Linked DNA regions of Cricetulus griseus. The protein of the gene in region 1 interacts with the protein of each later gene in a pairwise test. Links are inferred from orthologs where the notes say so. Each region holds a gene or a part of one and is shown on either strand. Other genes may lie near its edges.

Region 1 (3,511 bases):
GGCAAAGTCAGGCCTAGGCTAAGGCCAAGAGAGTCCGCCCTGACCTGGGCCAGCACTTACTGAACTCTGTGCCCGTGAGGTGGGCAAGGATGCGGAAGGAGCGGGACTGGCCTGTCCCTGGCCGTGGCCGCCAGTCTTCGGTATCCTCCATCAGCCGCTGCTTGCTGGCATCGGGGACCAGCTGTCTGAACAACTGTCTGTGGGAAGGGTGTGGCTCAGAACCCCTGGTTCTGGTGAACACCAGGGGCAGCCCCCCCCACCAGGATCTGATGTGACAGGCGAGAGAGGGGAAGGGTGGGGGGTGAGGCAAAGGGCCCTGCTGGGCAGGAGGGTAGGTAGGTAAATGAGAGACGGGAGGAGAGTAGCCAGGGTAGGGAGGGGCTACCACCCAAAGTGCCCAAAGGAAGGGAAAAAGTGACAGGAAGAGGGGGCTCACTGACTTGTCAGGGGTCTGCACCTGTGAAGGAAATAAGACAGATAGACAAATAAAGTGACAGACGCGGGAGAGAAAGATGGGGAATTAGAGAAGTGCAGAGGGAGGCAAGGTGGCAGTAACTCAGCTGGCCCAGTCACACCCCAACCCCAGGCTGCCCAGAGTGGCAGAGCCTGTGCAAGAGCGACAGCCTTAGGTGGGGCTCTACACCCTCAGGCCTACCCGGCCGCCAGGGATTGCTGCCACACGGTTAAGGGGCTGGGGTACAGCACAGACTGAGCAGTAGCGGGCAGCTTGTGTGTGCTTGTGGAAGGACTGGACGGTGTGGACAATAGACAGGAGTGAGTGGGCGAGGGCTGACATACCCATTCTGTTGCGGGGTGCTGTCAGTAGGTGGGGGTGCCCCAAAGGGCCGGGCCGTCTTGTTGAGGGAGGCGCTTGGTGCAAAAGTATACCTCGGGGGATCGGCGGGAGGGGTCAGGGCCTGGGCAGAGACAGAGCCAGGCAGGGTGGGTGGGAGTGGGGGCTGAGGTGGGAGCGGAGTCACCACCACCAAGGACAGTGACAGGTCCAGCTCCACGTACACATCTGGGCAGAGGCTAAGGGTGAGGGGAAACTATGATTTCAAGGGGCCCATTTGGAAGTAGTGAACTCAACCCACTCTGGGCCAAGGGAGACCAAGGATGGGCAGGCACACACAGCACAGGCTCGTGGGAGGAAGCGGGCGGGCAGACAGACAGGCAGGCACGTGTGGCGCCCAGACCGTGCGGCAGCTCCCAGCCCCTCTCAGTTCCTCAGACACTGCCCCTTCTGGCATCTGCCCTCTGCTCTTAGGGGTAACAAGGCTGGGCCTGGGGAGGGCAGGTCAACCCTGAAGTCTAAGCCCCCTCCCTTTCTCAGCCTAGTTATCTCCTGTACAACCTACCTTCTGTGGTTTGCTCTGAACAGGCTGGGCTCTGGAGAAGAAGAGAAAGCAGTGATGGCAGTGGGCCAGACCAGAGACTGCCTTCACCCCTTCATCCTGTTGGCCCCATACCTGCTAAGCCCCAGGCTGAGGCGCTCCCCACAGGCGCGGATCTTGTTCTGGGCCTCAATGTGTGTGAGGCTCCCTGCGTTCTCACCATCGATGCTCAGCACCCAGTCTCCTACAGCCACGCCAGCCTGTGCAGCTTTGCCTCCAGGGGTGAGCTGTGGAGAGGAGTGGTCAGAAGCCCATGGGCCCACACCCAAGCTGTGTCATCTACCTTTCCACTGCTTGGTTGTCTATTCTTCTCTATGACCCTCCCTCACAGTGCACCTCAGGCTAGCGTCCACAGCCTTTGAGGGCTCTGCCAGTCTGCTCTGGAGGCTACTTCACCACCAGATTGCCCTCCTGTGTTAAGACTGGGCTACAAAGGCCTAATAGGGTCGATCAGCGTTACTTCTGTCAGGGTCCTGACAAGTGTCCCATCTATCTGAGCAACTGAGCGACTGCCCTGCCCCCTTCCCCATTCACTGAATGCCTTCATAAATGTACTCTTGCTCCCATGGCCACATACTTTTTTTTTGGGTGGGGGGTGACCAAAGCTCACCACTTACCAGAAATCAGCCAGTGTTGGTGAGCACTACCCCACTAGGCCTACTACATACCCTCATTTGCCACACAGACCAGAAATTCCCAATTCAAAGCCAAAAGGATTGGAGACACATCGGTCACCCACAGCTCTGAAATCACAGGTCCACTCAACCATCTGGCAAAGGGCCTGGCACCACAGAGCAGGCTTAATTTACACTTCACGGGTAGCAGGAAAAGTGGGGTACAGGCTGCCAAAGGTGGCAGCAGGATCCTCAGGTGAGCGGTGCAGTGGGAAGGCCAGGAGGTTCTGAGAATGTTAGGGACAGTCCTGATGCAGAGACTGCAAACACTAGGACAGAATGGAGCTGGACTTGACAGCTCTATTTTGTGCCTGAAGGGGAGGTTAGCAGAGAAGAGAGCACCTAAGTCAGAGCCCTTTCTTTACCTGCTAACAGATGCTAAGAATAGCAACTCAGAGAACACCTAGTATTGACACCGCATCTCCCAATGTGCTTGCAGAGAGTCTGGGGATCCACCCTGCTCATACTCAGAAAAAACAGTATTGCCAACATGTGAACTCAAGTCATCCAGTCTGCACTAGGTGCAGCCAGGATGTGGCCCTCCACAGCAGCGCACCTATGCTACACAGGCACAAGTGAGGGGTCGATAAATACTCTCACACACAAGCAGGAACTCCCCATAAAGACTCTGGGGAGCTGGGTGGTGGCGGCACACGGCAACTTTAATCCCAGCACTCTGGAAGCCGAGGCCAGCCTGGTCTACATAGTGAATTCCAGAACAGCCAGGACTACACAGAGAAAGGCCGGGCGCTGGTGGCATACACCTTTAGTCCCAGCACTTGGGAGGCAGAGGCAGGCGGATCTCAGTGAGTTCGAGGCCAGCCTTGTCTACAGAACGAGTGCCAGGATAGGCTCCAAAGCCACAGAGAAACCCTGTCTCTAAAATAAAAAAAGACTACACAGAGAGATCCTGTCTCAAAATAATTTTTTTTGTCTTCTGGTTTTTTGAGACAGGGTTCCCCGTGAACCAGTCCTGGCTGTCCTGGAACTCACTCTCTAGATCAGGCTGGCCTCAAACTCACAGAGATCCACCTGCCTCTGCCTCCTGAGCACTGGGATTAAAGGCATGCGCCACCACCAACTAATTAAAATTTTATGAAATTAAAAACAAAAAGACTCTGGGTGCCAGGCCTGGTACTGTACACCTGCAACGCCAACACTCAGGCACGCTGAGCAGGGGGACTGACCGTTCAATGCAGACCCTGTCTGAAAAAGACCCCTTCATGCCTTGACTAAGTCTGGGGTCTTCATGCTCCTTTCACCTTCATCCCACTCCAATCTGTCCCTTACAAGGGGGACAGGGAAGTGACACCCTAGAGGGGAAGTGACTTAACTCATGGTCATGGTGAGTCAGTCAGGAGATGGAAACCTGGTTTAGCCACTCCTTCCTCTACAGGCAGCCTGCTTCCTGAGAGGTGTGGGGTGAGACCCAGGGGTGTGTGT
Region 2 (4,080 bases), about 40 Mb from region 1:
ATAAATCTATGTCATTCACAGAAAATGCAAATAGGCATCCACCCAAGCACCAACTTTAGGATAGCTGAAGAAAATTTAAGGAGAACTAGAGCACAGTTCTAACATTTAAAATCAAATTTTCTTTATAAAGAAAGCACTCACATGTACATTTGTTTAAACACCTAGCAATTGGTAACTGCAAAAACCAAACTGTCCATCTTAAAGAATATAAGAGCTACAGTTTTCACATGAAAACAGTCTCTACAGAAAAAGATAGTGTATACAGTATAGCAATTTTCTCAATCAGAATTCAGCAAGAAGCATTCTGATTTGATCAGTCGCATTTCATGTCTTCTGATCTTTGATTGTCCTTTTCATCTTACAGGGTTAGCCAAAATTCTGACAACAATGTAACCAATGTACTTGCTACAATGTAAACAAAGGCCAGGAAACTAATAGGCCTGTACATAAATTCTCATTGCTTCTAGTCTAGCAGTTCTCTACCTGTGGAACCCCACCAGTTTGGGAGCCAGAAGACCCTTTCACAAGGGTTGCACATCAGATATCCTGCATATCAGATATTTACATTATGGTTCATAACAGTAGCAAAATTACAGTTATGAAATAACAATGAAACAATTTTATGGTTGGGGGTCACAACAGGAGGCATTGTATTAAATGTTGGCAGCATTAGGAAGGTTGAGAACCACTGTTTTAGTTGAACACATTAGAGATTTTTAAAAGTACAAAGACCACCGTGCCTACCAAAACCACTCAAAACTTTTAGAGTACAACCAGACACTAATAATTTTTAGCCATCAGTTGGAATCAATGACACCCGCCCCCATCATTTAAGGTTTGTATCCCATAACAATCAAGCTAAAGACCGTTACATTTCTTGTCTTATTTTTTAAAAGCATTTACTTTCTGTGGCTCGAAGTGATTATTTTTAATGTTTTTGCCGGCATACAACACAATTGACTGTAGGAAACTTAACTCCCAGGTGAATCAGAGAGAGGACCTGAGTGAGAAAGGCTCACAAAAACCCCTTAAACTGCCTACCACTTTGGGGGTGACTTCTCCCTGACTGGACCACTTGGCCACTTCTTTCAGGCTCAAAAACATACTGCGATGCCAGTTATTTTGTACACACCAAATGAAACCAGCGATTGAATACACACCACAGAAGATACTGGGTACAGTGTATAACTCCTACACTAACATAGGAACTGTATAAATACTACATATGACACTAGTTACTGTGCACACAACTTTACAGGAAACCAGGTACTGTGTGTATACACAGTATAAGACACTGGTCATGCAAAGGAAATTAACACCAGATACTCTGTAACACACATTGACACTTTGTAACCATATACAAAGAAACTGCAAACACAGCCGCACACAATGCTAGATACTATCTACACATCTTATCCCTCCTGGGATACAGGGCACAGTTCAGCTGTGCAGTGGCACAGGTCGGAGTTTAGACAAATTAGAGGACACTGGGTGCTGCGTGCATACTGCCTGTGACACCGAGTACTACTAACAAGTCACACACGACAGTCAGTACCACGGACACACGGCAAACACTAAGTATAAGTACCACAGACACCAAAGACAAAGTCCCACGGACACACCGCAAAGCACGCTCGGCTCGGCCCAGGAAAAAGGCGTGAGTGAAAGTTCGGGCCACAGCCCCACAGGCAGCGTCCCCATCAGCGTCTCTCCCCAGTTCTACACGGGCACAGCGCGGCTAATCCCGCAGCACGGCCGGGAGGACCTGTTGAGGCAGCTGAAGCCTCGCAACCCGCTCGCCTGCAGTCCCGAGGGACCGACGGACACTGGTCTCGGTTCTCGGGCACCGCCGCTTCCACTGCTCCCCTCCGCCCGCCACACGTTCCACGCAAAGGGCCCTCGGGCCTGGCCAGGCGGGAGGCGCTGGGACCCGGCGGGAGGAGCTCACAAGACTCCGCGGCTTCGGGGCGCCAGCAGGCCGCGCGCGGTTCTCCGCGGCCTTCCCCCGGGCCTGTTCCTCACGGCTGCCGGAGGCAAGAGGCGCCGGACCGAGGGAAAGCGCCCAGTCCGCAGGCCTCGCCGGCCTGGGGCAGTCCCGAGGCCACCATCAGCCGCCGCCCGCCACAGAGGCCGCAGCCCCTGCAGCCGTCACGGTGCAGGCCGCGTCACCGCCACGGACGCCTCCGCCCGCCCCGCCGCCCAGCGCCCCGCCGAGCTTTCCCCACCATTATGCTCCGCTCCGCCGCCGCCGCCGTCGCCGCCGCGCCCGGCCCTCCCTCCGGAGCCGCCTCCTTCCCGCCGCCCGGCGCCTCTCGGGCCTCAGCCGGCGACGGGCGCGGGGGGCGGGGGGGACGCAGGCCGCCGTCTCCTCCTCCTCCCCGCCATCTCCTCCCTCCTCCCCGGCTCCCCCCGCTGGCTCGGCGCAGAGGGCTCGGGGCTCGAGGGGCGCCATGTTGGCGGCGGCTTTCACCACAGAAAATGCCTCGGCGCGCGCCGGGGCGAAGCCTGGTGAGGCGGCCGGGGCGTCGCGCGCCGGCTGGAGGCCCGGACCGCCGCGCGCACAGTTCGCTCGCTCGCTCGTTCGCTCGCTCGCTCGCTCGCTCACTCACCGCGTCTCCTCAGCCCGACGGCGGCGCAGGGCCTTCGGGGCTGCCGAGGACGCCCTGGGGGAAAGCTGACGCTCCCCACTAAGCGGTGGTTCACATGGTGCGGGCGCGGCGGCCGGCCGAGCTCGCAGCCTCCTCGGAGTTCATTGTGTGCGCTCGAGTGTTTCCCCGCGCGGGGCCGGGCCGGGCAAGCGCGGCCTGGGCCGAGCCGCGCACGGGGGGCTCTAGCGGCGGGCGCGGGACTTGCGCGGCCTGCGCTGCCTCCCCGCCCCGAGACCGGGGGAGCCCGCCGCACCCGCTCCTACCTTCCCTCGACCTGTCTCCGGCGCCTCTCTGCGAAATCGGTTTCAGCATATTCTAAGGGGTCCACACACCAACTCCATATCAACACACACGTGCAAGCTACGTACGTGCTGGCACGCTGGAGCCGGGCACCGTGACACGAGGGTAGCATTGTTAGGGTCCTGCCAGGCCCGGTGGGCTGCGACGCGGCTCGCGGGGTGGACCCACTCCACGCTTTGCTTGGTTCCTAATGGCTCCGTGTTGGACAAGCACTCGCCCGTGTACTGACCCGAATGGGTAAGATAGTCTCCCTCTATTTCCAACCCTGTGCTCAAAAAACCAGTTGCAAGACACTCAAGTTCCCGCGTCCTGTAGATGCACAAATGGAACGTTTACAAAGAATGGACCTCCCATTATCAATCTGGTTAGAACATTACAAATTGCTGGAAGAACTAGGTTATCCTTTTTAGTGAGTAATTCTAGATCTAATCAGAGGAGATCCCTTAAGCTATATGGCTTTTAAAAAACCTTTGGGGGAAAAGTCGCAGAGATAAAAGGACATACAGATGTCGTACATTGTCCTAATAACCTTTGCCTGCTAGGAGTTTGGAAAGGAAACTACTGGCCAAAATTGCTTGCCCCTATTCTCATCGGATATATGTGCCTGAAAATCACTGGAAACTCCCCTAGAAACCTGGATTCTTAAATTACCCATCTGTTTACAGAGCTGATCTCTAGGAACTTAGAAATGAACAGCAGTGAGTTGGCCTTTGAAGTACACCAGTCAAACATGGTCTTTCAAAACATTAACAGCCCTGGAACTGATAGCCGCATCTCTGAGTAGTGTTTGGGTGTTTTGTTGTTTGTTTTTGTTTCAAGCTTTTTTTTTTCCACTTCAAAGATCATGAGATATTTTCAGTCCATTCGAATAATAAAATAAGGCATGAGTAGGCAGCAGGTAAATGCACTCACCACCCAACAATCAGAGAATCAGCATTCAATCCCAGGACCCATCCATAGGGGGGATGAGATTAAATACCATTACAACTAGATAGAAGGAAATCATGCCATATCTGATTGCAATGCTGCACTGGGAACCACCTGTTTAAGTGAATCACCTTTTTAAAAAGGTCTTATTTCCGCTGTAGAGGAATGGCTACTTCTATATTTCTATGTATTCTACAGAGGCCAT
Region 3 (4,233 bases), about 91 Mb from region 1:
CCTACCTTGTATCAAAAAGCCAAAAGCCACAGTGAGACCCTGTCTCAAAAAAGGAAAGGCTGAGCATAGTTTTGATTTAAATTTATTTTAATTTAACACAACTTTAATTCCAGCACTTGGGAGGCAGAGGCAGGTGGATCTTTGTGAGCTCTAGACCAGTCAGGACTACATAATAAAAATTTGTCTTAAATAAGGAAAGAAATAACCAAATATAAGAATAAATGAGAACCTGGTGTAAGTTTTTTGCAAGTGGGAAAGTAGTCATTAAATGAAAGACAGACCTGGTAGTGCAGTCCTGTAATTCCAGCTAACTCAAGAGACAGAGGCAGGAGGAGCACAAGTTCAAGGCTTTCCTGAGCTACAGGAGTTTGAGGCCACCCAGGGAAACTTACTGAGAGTCTGTCTCAAAAGAAAAAGAAAAAAACTTACAAAAAGAAGGGCTACAGCCAGGCATTGGTGGTGCACGTCTTTAATCCCAGCACTCGGGAGGCAGAGGCAGGCGGATCTCTGTGAGTTTGAGGCCAGCCTGGTCTCCGGAGCAAGTGCTAGGATGGGCTCCAAAGCTACACAGGAGTGGGGGAGAGGGGAAGGGCTACAGCTCCAACTCAGTGGTAAGGTGTAAAGTTCAATGACAAAAAAAAAAAAAAAAAAAAAAAAAAAAAAAAAAAAAAAAAAAAACAGTGAAAGAGAACGACAAGCCAATCCAAGCCTTTGGCCTCAGGCTCCTTGGTTTCCTAGGGACCAATAACACAGAACAAAACTAGCTTCACTGACCAGAAAAAGGACAGGAAACTTAAGTTCAAACCCCTTCTTCACCACATACAGCAGTGTGACCTTTAAAAACTCCCTTATTTCTCAAACACTGACCAAGTACTCACAACATACCAGGCATGAGGCTAGTAGCCAAGGAAGCCACATAAAATAGGATCACTGCCCTTGAATGATTTACAGTCTAGCAGGAAGATGAGTAAACAAGTCAAGTTGGGGCTAGAGAGATAGATCAACAGTTAAAGAGTATTTAGTGCTCTTCCACAGGACCAAAGTTTAGTTCCCAGAATGACAGGCCAGAGGCTTGGGGCTGGAGAGACAGCTCAGTGATTAAGAGCACTGGCTGCTCTTCCAGAGGGCCCAAATTCAATTCCCAGCACCCACATGGCAACTCACAACTGTCTGTAACTTCAGCTCCAGAGGATCCAACAGCCTCACATAGACATGAATGCAGACAAAATAAAATCTTTTTAAAAAGAAAGAAAGCGCAGAGGCTCACAACCACCTGTATCTCTGGCTTCAAGGGACCCAATGCTTTCTTCTGGCCTCTGTGGACACCCACACCCTACATATGACATACATACACAGACACGAACACACACACACATAATAAATAAAAATAAATATTTTTAAAGTCAACCCTCTTAGCTGTTTGTTCTCTGTGAAGTGGGGATTGATTTCTCATGACAGCTACAAAAATTAACTTTTGAATGTTTGTCATATACCCCAAAGTCTTCCACTCCTAATGTATTAATGCAAAGTTTTTGGTTTTTTTTTTTGCCCTAGTGACCTGTGATCCTGGCTCCTGTCAACGTCCCATTTGAACTCTAACTCCTTCACTGCATTCACAAAACCCATTTCACTTCTGCAAAGTTTAGTAAATGTGAAGGAAAAGAGGAGGGCTTGGTTGTTTGTTTAGGTCTTAACAGTGTAGCCCAGGCCGGCTTGGCCTGGAACTTGCAGCCATCTTCACGCCTCGGCCTGGAAGATGAACAATCTTAAGATGGGTATCTTAACCTCAAAAAAAAAAAAAAAAAAATGTGATCTAGGTCACAGTTCTAAGGAATACCACAGAAACTTCTCTGTCACCCCACCTAGTCACAGCTGGTCAAGATAAGAAGTCTCATGGAAAAGGAAACTGTGTAATTTAAGCCTAAGATGCATCGTCTAAAGCAGTATCGGTAGACTTTCTACTGTCCAAGAGTTAAGCAGTCAATGCGTTGCTGAGGTAACGCTGGCCCAAGCCGCTGACAACTGTGTAGGTTGAAAGTCATGTTATGATCCCAGTAAAGCACCCACACCGTCTTTATTTTATTTTTTTTTTCGAAGATCAGCCGATCCGGGAGCATCTCAAAGAAAGATGATCTGAAGGGCTAGGCTCCTAACAAGAGGGAACCCTAAGCAAACAGGGCAAAGTGGGTGTGACCACAGTCAGCCGATCAAGACTGAGGGATCCCTCCTGAAGTTTAAAAACTGAACCGGACCGAAATTAAAGTCTCAGGTCGCCATCATCTTCAAAGAGGATGGAAGGAAGAGACTCTCGGAATGGGGTCCAGGCCGCATCGTCCAGATTTTTTCTCCACGTCCCTACAAACCAGACGCCCACTCCCAGGCAGCCCCTTCTGGGGAGCTTGCTAGTCTCCCGGGCCGAGGTCCCGTCCCCTCCACAGACGCGGCTCCTGCGCACCGCAGGCGCCCAGGCAGGGGTCCCCTGCCGGAAGCGCCAGCAGCTGGCGACTCCCACCGGGCCCCGCGCCCACCCCGCTCGGGCGCAAGCCGGGACACCCCTCCTCGGAGGCCGGAACCGCGCGCCAGGCCCCTCCCACAGGAAGCCGCCGCCCCCGCGCCCGCCCCGCGCCGCCCCCAGCCCTCACGCCCCCGCCGCCCCCGGCCACCCCGCGCCGCCCGCTCGCCACCGAGCCCCCAGCGCCCGCGCCACCTACCTGCAGCGGCCACACCAGCGGCGCCTAACTCCGCTCCACTTCCGCCTTCCAGCGCCCGCACTCGGGCCGGGTCACGTGAGTGCGCGCGGTCACCTGACCCGGAAGAGGCTGGCCTGGGCGCGCAGGTGCGGACCACCTAGACCCAGCATGCGAGCTTTTGATTTACTGAGGTCCCGAGTGGCGAGGACCTCTTGCTCCTGAGTTGTGTTCGGGCAGACATACAAAATAGGGACTCGCCGGGCACCAGGGGCTTTATTTTATTCCTTTGGAAGTAGGTAGAGTTTCCCTCCATGAAACAGGTGGGAGAAGACCATCCGGTCAGTTAATTCAGCGAGTCTTTCGGGGATTACTGGAGAAAAAAACAGTATGCTAGCCGAGTGATAGTGGCGCTCCCCTTTAATACCAGCATTTGGGAGGCAGAGGCAGGCGGTTCTTCGTAAATTCAAGGCTAGCCTTGTCTACAGGGTGAATTCTAAAACAGCCATGACTACTACACAGAGAAACTCTGTCTCAAAAAACAAACAAACAAAAACTTGCTAACAAAAAAACAGTATGTTCCCCCCTTAAATTTGAATATCGGATAAACCTTGTAACTATAACCACGTCCGCAAATTTGGAAAGGGATGTATTGACACCACAAAGGTATACTGGTCAAACTTAAGCATCTTATGTATTGCTAATATTGGCAGCTTGTGCCAACTATATGCTAGGCCTTGTTTTCAGTTCTAGAAGTATAAATGCCCTGGCCTTTATAGAACATCTGTTCTTGTTCCAAGAAGCAAAAGTAGAAGGGGGTGGGGGTGAGGTCACACTTCAGAACTTCACCCAAGTCCGTAAGTGTCCCATGGGGAACCAACTCCCATTTCCTCCCTGTATGGAGTAAACTGAAAGTTTTGAATTAGCAAACGGCCTCTATGTAACCCTGACTGACCTGGAACTCAACCCTATCCTCAGCCTTCTTAATTCCTGGCATTGGGGGCACTGAGGGTTGGACCCAGAGCCCTGCTCATACTAGTCAGGGATCACTCCTACTGACCTATGTTGCCAGTCCTGTTGTTACCTTTCTAGTTTTTATTTGGAGCAGGGTCTTGCTTAAAGAGTTCTAATTGGCCTTGAACTTTTGATTCTCTGAGTAGTTAGGATTACCTTTTTGTGCCATGGGGGGGGGGGGGTCAGGAGACAGGTGGAGTCAGGGTTTCATGCACCCTAGGCTGGGACCCACCTCCCAGTTGATCAGATAACAGATATGTGCCACACCATCTGGCTTTCTGTTGGGTTTGGTTTTGGTTAACTGAAATTTTTAATTTTTCATTAGTATTTTATTATATGGATCTTTTTCCTGTGCATACACATCTGTGTACCACCTGGATGTTTGGTGCCTTTGTTGTGGGTTATCTACCAGAGAAAACTGCTCAGACATTCATCTAAGCCAATAGAAAGTCTTTATTAGCCAGCCGGCAACTACACTGGGTGTTAAGGATCAAGCAAGGTTAGTAAATTTAAAGACTTTCCCAGAACTATG
Region 4 (4,262 bases), on another chromosome or scaffold:
GAAATGGTGAAAAATCAGGAAAAGAAAATTAGTCTATGTGGCCACATTAGGATGAAGAACTAAGAGTCCCTTGACCCCCTGGTCTGTCTTCCAGGGTTAGTATACGGCTCAGATTTAAATAGAGGACAAGAGATGTGCAGAGCTCACAGTTCCAGGCTAAGGTGTGGTCCAGTTTATCACTACTGTCTGCACCACTATCCATTCTCTCCAGAAATGTGCTCTAACACATTCTTAACACTGTGTGAAATGTCAGCACTGTGACAAAGTCATCACTGGTCAGCACCAGGCTTCAGCCTTTTCATTCTCCCAGTAGGGAGTTTCTGGGGCACAAATGTCTCTCTTTAGAATATCTTCAATCCTACCAGAATGGTTATACACTGAAGTAAGCTTCCCTAAGAAAGAAAAATAAGTGTTTAAGCCAAATATATATGTATGCATATACACATATGTACATATGTACACACACTGATATATATATATATATATATATATATATATATATATATCTTTTTATAAACCCCATGGCAATATGTGGAAGGATTCTCAAGGTGACACCTTGTTTAACCTACTCACAGGTGAGTAACCCCTGGTCAAAAGCACACACACCTAAAGTATGGCAATCACATGTAATTCATGATGACACAGTGTTCAAAGCTAGGTTACATCACAGGCTACCAGATCATGAAGTACAGAATCACCATTTAATACAGTTAACACTTACAGGACCTACTTGAGCAGGTGATATTCTATCTGTTTGATAAATATTTATTTTCTATCTATAATAATTGGTTTTTATGCAGAATAATTATTAGCTCATTTTTCTTGTTGATATATATGCTATTTTGTCACATATGTGTTCTGGATTTTGACTTCATACCAAACTTTGAGGTGCTTCTCCTTGAGAATTGTTCAGCTTTTGCTTCAGTAATGTTGATATGATACACAAGTTGGAAACATAGCTCTTCACGTGTTACATCAGTGTAACTGTCAGCTGTGGCTCAACAATGGCTCCACAGAGTTGCCTGGTCTTGACTCCAGGTTGCACTATGTCTTCTTCAAATCTCTCTTCTAAAACTGAGGATTGGCAAGTATAATCTACCTGAGGATTCTTAATGACAAGTTTATTGGGGTGGAGTACTAAGAGCATCCAAACACCCCCACCCTAGACTGGCTTATTTTCCAGACCATTGATCCATGCAGTTCACATGGGCCAAATTCAGCACCAATGGGACAAGCAACTGTAATCCACAGTGATCATTCAAGATAAGAACAAAGATTCAGAATGAAATTATCTCATATATACAGCCTGAAAATATAACTTTTATCTTTTGAAATTAGTATTGTGAGAGATAACTGAAATGATGTAGATAAATTATCTAAAATAAATTTATCTCCTGGTGGTGAGATATAATAAGCTGCCTGTTTTCTCTTTGTATTTCATAGGTTTTTTACATCATGTTTGGGAAGAAAAAGAAAAAGATTGAAATTTCTGGCCCATCCAACTTTGAGCACAGGGTTCATACTGGGTTTGATCCACAGGAGCAGAAATTTACTGGCCTTCCCCAGCAATGGCACAGCCTGTTAGCAGACACAGCCAACAGGCCCAAGCCCATGGTGGATCCGTCATGCATCACACCGATACAACTGGCTCCCATGAAGGTATGCAAGGATTCTGTCTTCAGGTTGACTTCAGCACCAGGCTCTGACTTGATTTAGTGTACTATCTTTATAAACTGGGTAACTTTAGCCACAGTTAGCCTTCATTTTGCAGCACATGAAAGGGAAATGTTGTCTTTGAATACTGATTATTGTAAAATTTAGATGTAAAATTAAGCTACAAAATGAATTTTTATTTCTGTCAATAATACCCAGCTCCTCTGATAATATCAGCAATAGATCTAATCAAATATTTTACTGGACATATTTCATTGTCTTCTATTTGCTCTCAAAATATTTATACTTACTATTATAAAATACAACGATAACAGATTTCAGTAGCAATAAATCATATTTATAAGCATACACTCAAATGTATGTGTCTATATGTATGATTTATACAGTAAATGTGTGTATCTTCACATTTATCTCCATAGTCTAAGAAAGAGATATTTCATATTAGCAAATAATTTCAGTCATTGAATAATTAACCTGAACAAACAGCTGGTAGATTTTTGATAAGGAATGTTCATGACTCATTAAGTTTCAGCTATGTTCAGTTACCAAAAAGACAATTCAGAGGTTGCAGCTTCTTCTTTACTGGAGGGTAAGAATTCTGTAGTCTATCAGGCAGTTGCCCACAAGCTCTCCATGGGAGTAAAACAGTATAGATATTTAGCAGAATAATATACATCAGATCACTCCAGAGTCTTCCAATCTCAACAAAGTATGAAACTCATGTTCCTCTGTCATTCATTATACTAGAACGTATCTTTGCTATGAGGATACTTACTCTGTGTGAACATTAATAGTGCCTAAATTGTGCTAAATTATATATAAAGTGATTCTACAGGATGTGAACAAAAGATATAGTTGATAAATGATAAAGGAGTCTGTTATCTCTTCAACTGGTTGAATTCGAATAGTGATCCAATGAAAGAAGTGTGTCGTCCCTTATTTTTGGACAGCAGGCTTCAGGAGGATTTACCTGAGTAGAAATCTACCACATGAGCCAGTATTCCTTGATGGGTCATGACTCCCATTGCCCCTGTTCAGAAACTCTAGCTTATCTATTTTGCCTACAACTTGTAAGAGTACATCTGTCCTTTGCAGACTCATTTATGCCAGGGCTTCTCAAGGTATATTGAGAATCACCTGAAGTGTCTTGCTAAAACAAATGTTCTAGTTGGGATTTCTATTGCAGTGAAGAGACACCAGAGCCACACAAATTCTTATAAAGGAAAACATTTAGTTGGGGCTGGCTTACACTTGAGAGATTTAGTCCATTGTCATTGGACTAAATTGGCTGTAATGGTACTGGAGAGGTAGCTGAGAGTTCTACATCTGGATCCAGGGGCAGTAGGAAGACAGGGAGCCCTTAGACCTGGCTTGAGATTCTGATACCTCAAAGCCTGCCCCCAATGACACACATCCTCCAACAAGACTGCACCTACTCCAGTAAGGCTGTACCTCCTAATAGTACTGCTCTCTATGGGCTTATGGGAGCCATTTTTATTCAAACCACCATAACACAGATATGGAGCTCTACCCCTGTATCTGATTCAGTAAAACTGGGTTAGAGCTTCTTGGTGTTCATTTCTAAATAATATCCTGCTGGTGCAAAGGCGGCTGGCCTAAAGAGATTTTGAAAATCTTTATAAAAGTAGTTATAAAAACTTATTTACATAGATGATATAATCAGAATGACTTTACACTGGTTAAAAAAAAAGTTCAAGATATCAGAATCTTAGATTTATGTTGAGTTGACTTTCTTGACCCCAAACCCCAAGCACATAAACTGACTGAAATCATCTGAATAGTCAAAGGGGAGTATACCTTTCAAACATTTGGCAAGGTCAGGAAATGAAGGTCAGTGATATGACCTGCACTTAGCATAAATTCAATGGGTTCAATTTCTAACAGCTCCTCTTCTTCCCCCACCAAGAATGTTTTTCATACTTAACTGTTTTGTCCATAAGAGCATCATAAGCAACATTACCCAAGTTGTTTCAAAATTAGCTGTGTTATATGCACATCTTAACGTTTTCTTCCTGTTTCTTTTTAATGTTAATTATTATTATAGCAATAATTCTAAATATTTTGATATATTTAAATTTTATTGTGATGTCATACTATATAACTATCTTCGAACTTCCTATTTATTTAAGATTGAGAAAAATTCTCATTCATACAGAAGACTTGAGTTTCGTTTAAATTGTAACTTTCTATAACTTGCTCATTTTTCTATAGAAGAATTCTACAAAGTATGTGCTATAACAGATAAAATTATCATGAAGATATGAGTGCTTGGTTTTCATAGTACAGTCTGGAACTCTTGGGAAACTTAGGTTCTTTGAGAAGTCTACCTGAGGTTACAGTAGGATTTTTCAGAAAGTAACATATATTGTAGTGTCATAGTTGATGCCTAAAATATCATGAACTCTCTACTCTTTTGCTTTATAAGCTTCTTATTTGTGTGGTGGTGGCCCATGCCTTTAATTCCAGCACTCAGGGGACAGAAGCAGGCAAATCTCTAAGTCTGGGGCCAACCTGGCCTACAAAATGAGTTCCAGGACAACCAGGGCTACACAGAGAAACCCTGCCTT

What was found.
Region 2: the proteins of Pdlim7 (region 1) and Zmynd11 interact in a two-hybrid assay, tested with the Homo sapiens proteins (2 studies listed by BioGRID). The link is inferred for Cricetulus griseus from reciprocal best matches to the Homo sapiens genes PDLIM7 and ZMYND11.
Region 3: the proteins of Pdlim7 (region 1) and Wwp2 interact in binary tests that used the Homo sapiens proteins (3 or more experiments, as listed by UniProt). The link is inferred for Cricetulus griseus from reciprocal best matches to the Homo sapiens genes PDLIM7 and WWP2.
Region 4: the proteins of Pdlim7 (region 1) and Pak5 interact in a two-hybrid assay, tested with the Homo sapiens proteins (2 studies listed by BioGRID and IntAct). The two-hybrid records come from large-scale screens. The link is inferred for Cricetulus griseus from reciprocal best matches to the Homo sapiens genes PDLIM7 and PAK5.

Annotation. Positions count from the first base shown.
Region 1 is NC_048596.1:274,494,255-274,497,765, forward strand, and holds part of Pdlim7 (PDZ and LIM domain protein 7), read right to left. Parts: intron 1,622-3,511; coding exon 1,470-1,621; intron 1,390-1,469; coding exon 1,359-1,389; intron 918-1,358; coding exon 799-917; intron 458-798; coding exon of another isoform or gene 441-457; intron 198-440; coding exon 61-197; intron 1-60. UniProt on the Homo sapiens protein: May function as a scaffold on which the coordinated assembly of proteins can occur. May play a role as an adapter that, via its PDZ domain, localizes LIM-binding proteins to actin filaments of both skeletal muscle and nonmuscle tissues.
Region 2 is NC_048596.1:234,026,358-234,030,437, forward strand, and holds the start of Zmynd11 (zinc finger MYND domain-containing protein 11), read right to left. Parts: upstream 2,808-4,080; 5' UTR 2,610-2,807; intron 2,302-2,609; exon of another isoform or gene 2,226-2,301; intron 1,794-2,225; exon of another isoform or gene 1,623-1,793; intron 1-1,622. UniProt on the Homo sapiens protein: Chromatin reader that specifically recognizes and binds histone H3.3 trimethylated at 'Lys-36' (H3.3K36me3) and regulates RNA polymerase II elongation. Does not bind other histone H3 subtypes (H3.1 or H3.2).
Region 3 is NC_048596.1:183,768,593-183,772,825, reverse strand, and holds the start of Wwp2 (NEDD4-like E3 ubiquitin-protein ligase WWP2), read right to left. Parts: upstream 2,808-4,233; 5' UTR 2,712-2,807; intron 1-2,711. UniProt on the Homo sapiens protein: E3 ubiquitin-protein ligase which accepts ubiquitin from an E2 ubiquitin-conjugating enzyme in the form of a thioester and then directly transfers the ubiquitin to targeted substrates.
Region 4 is NC_048599.1:42,473,469-42,477,730, forward strand, and holds the start of Pak5 (serine/threonine-protein kinase PAK 5), read left to right. Parts: upstream 1-1,455; coding exon 1,456-1,659; intron 1,660-4,262.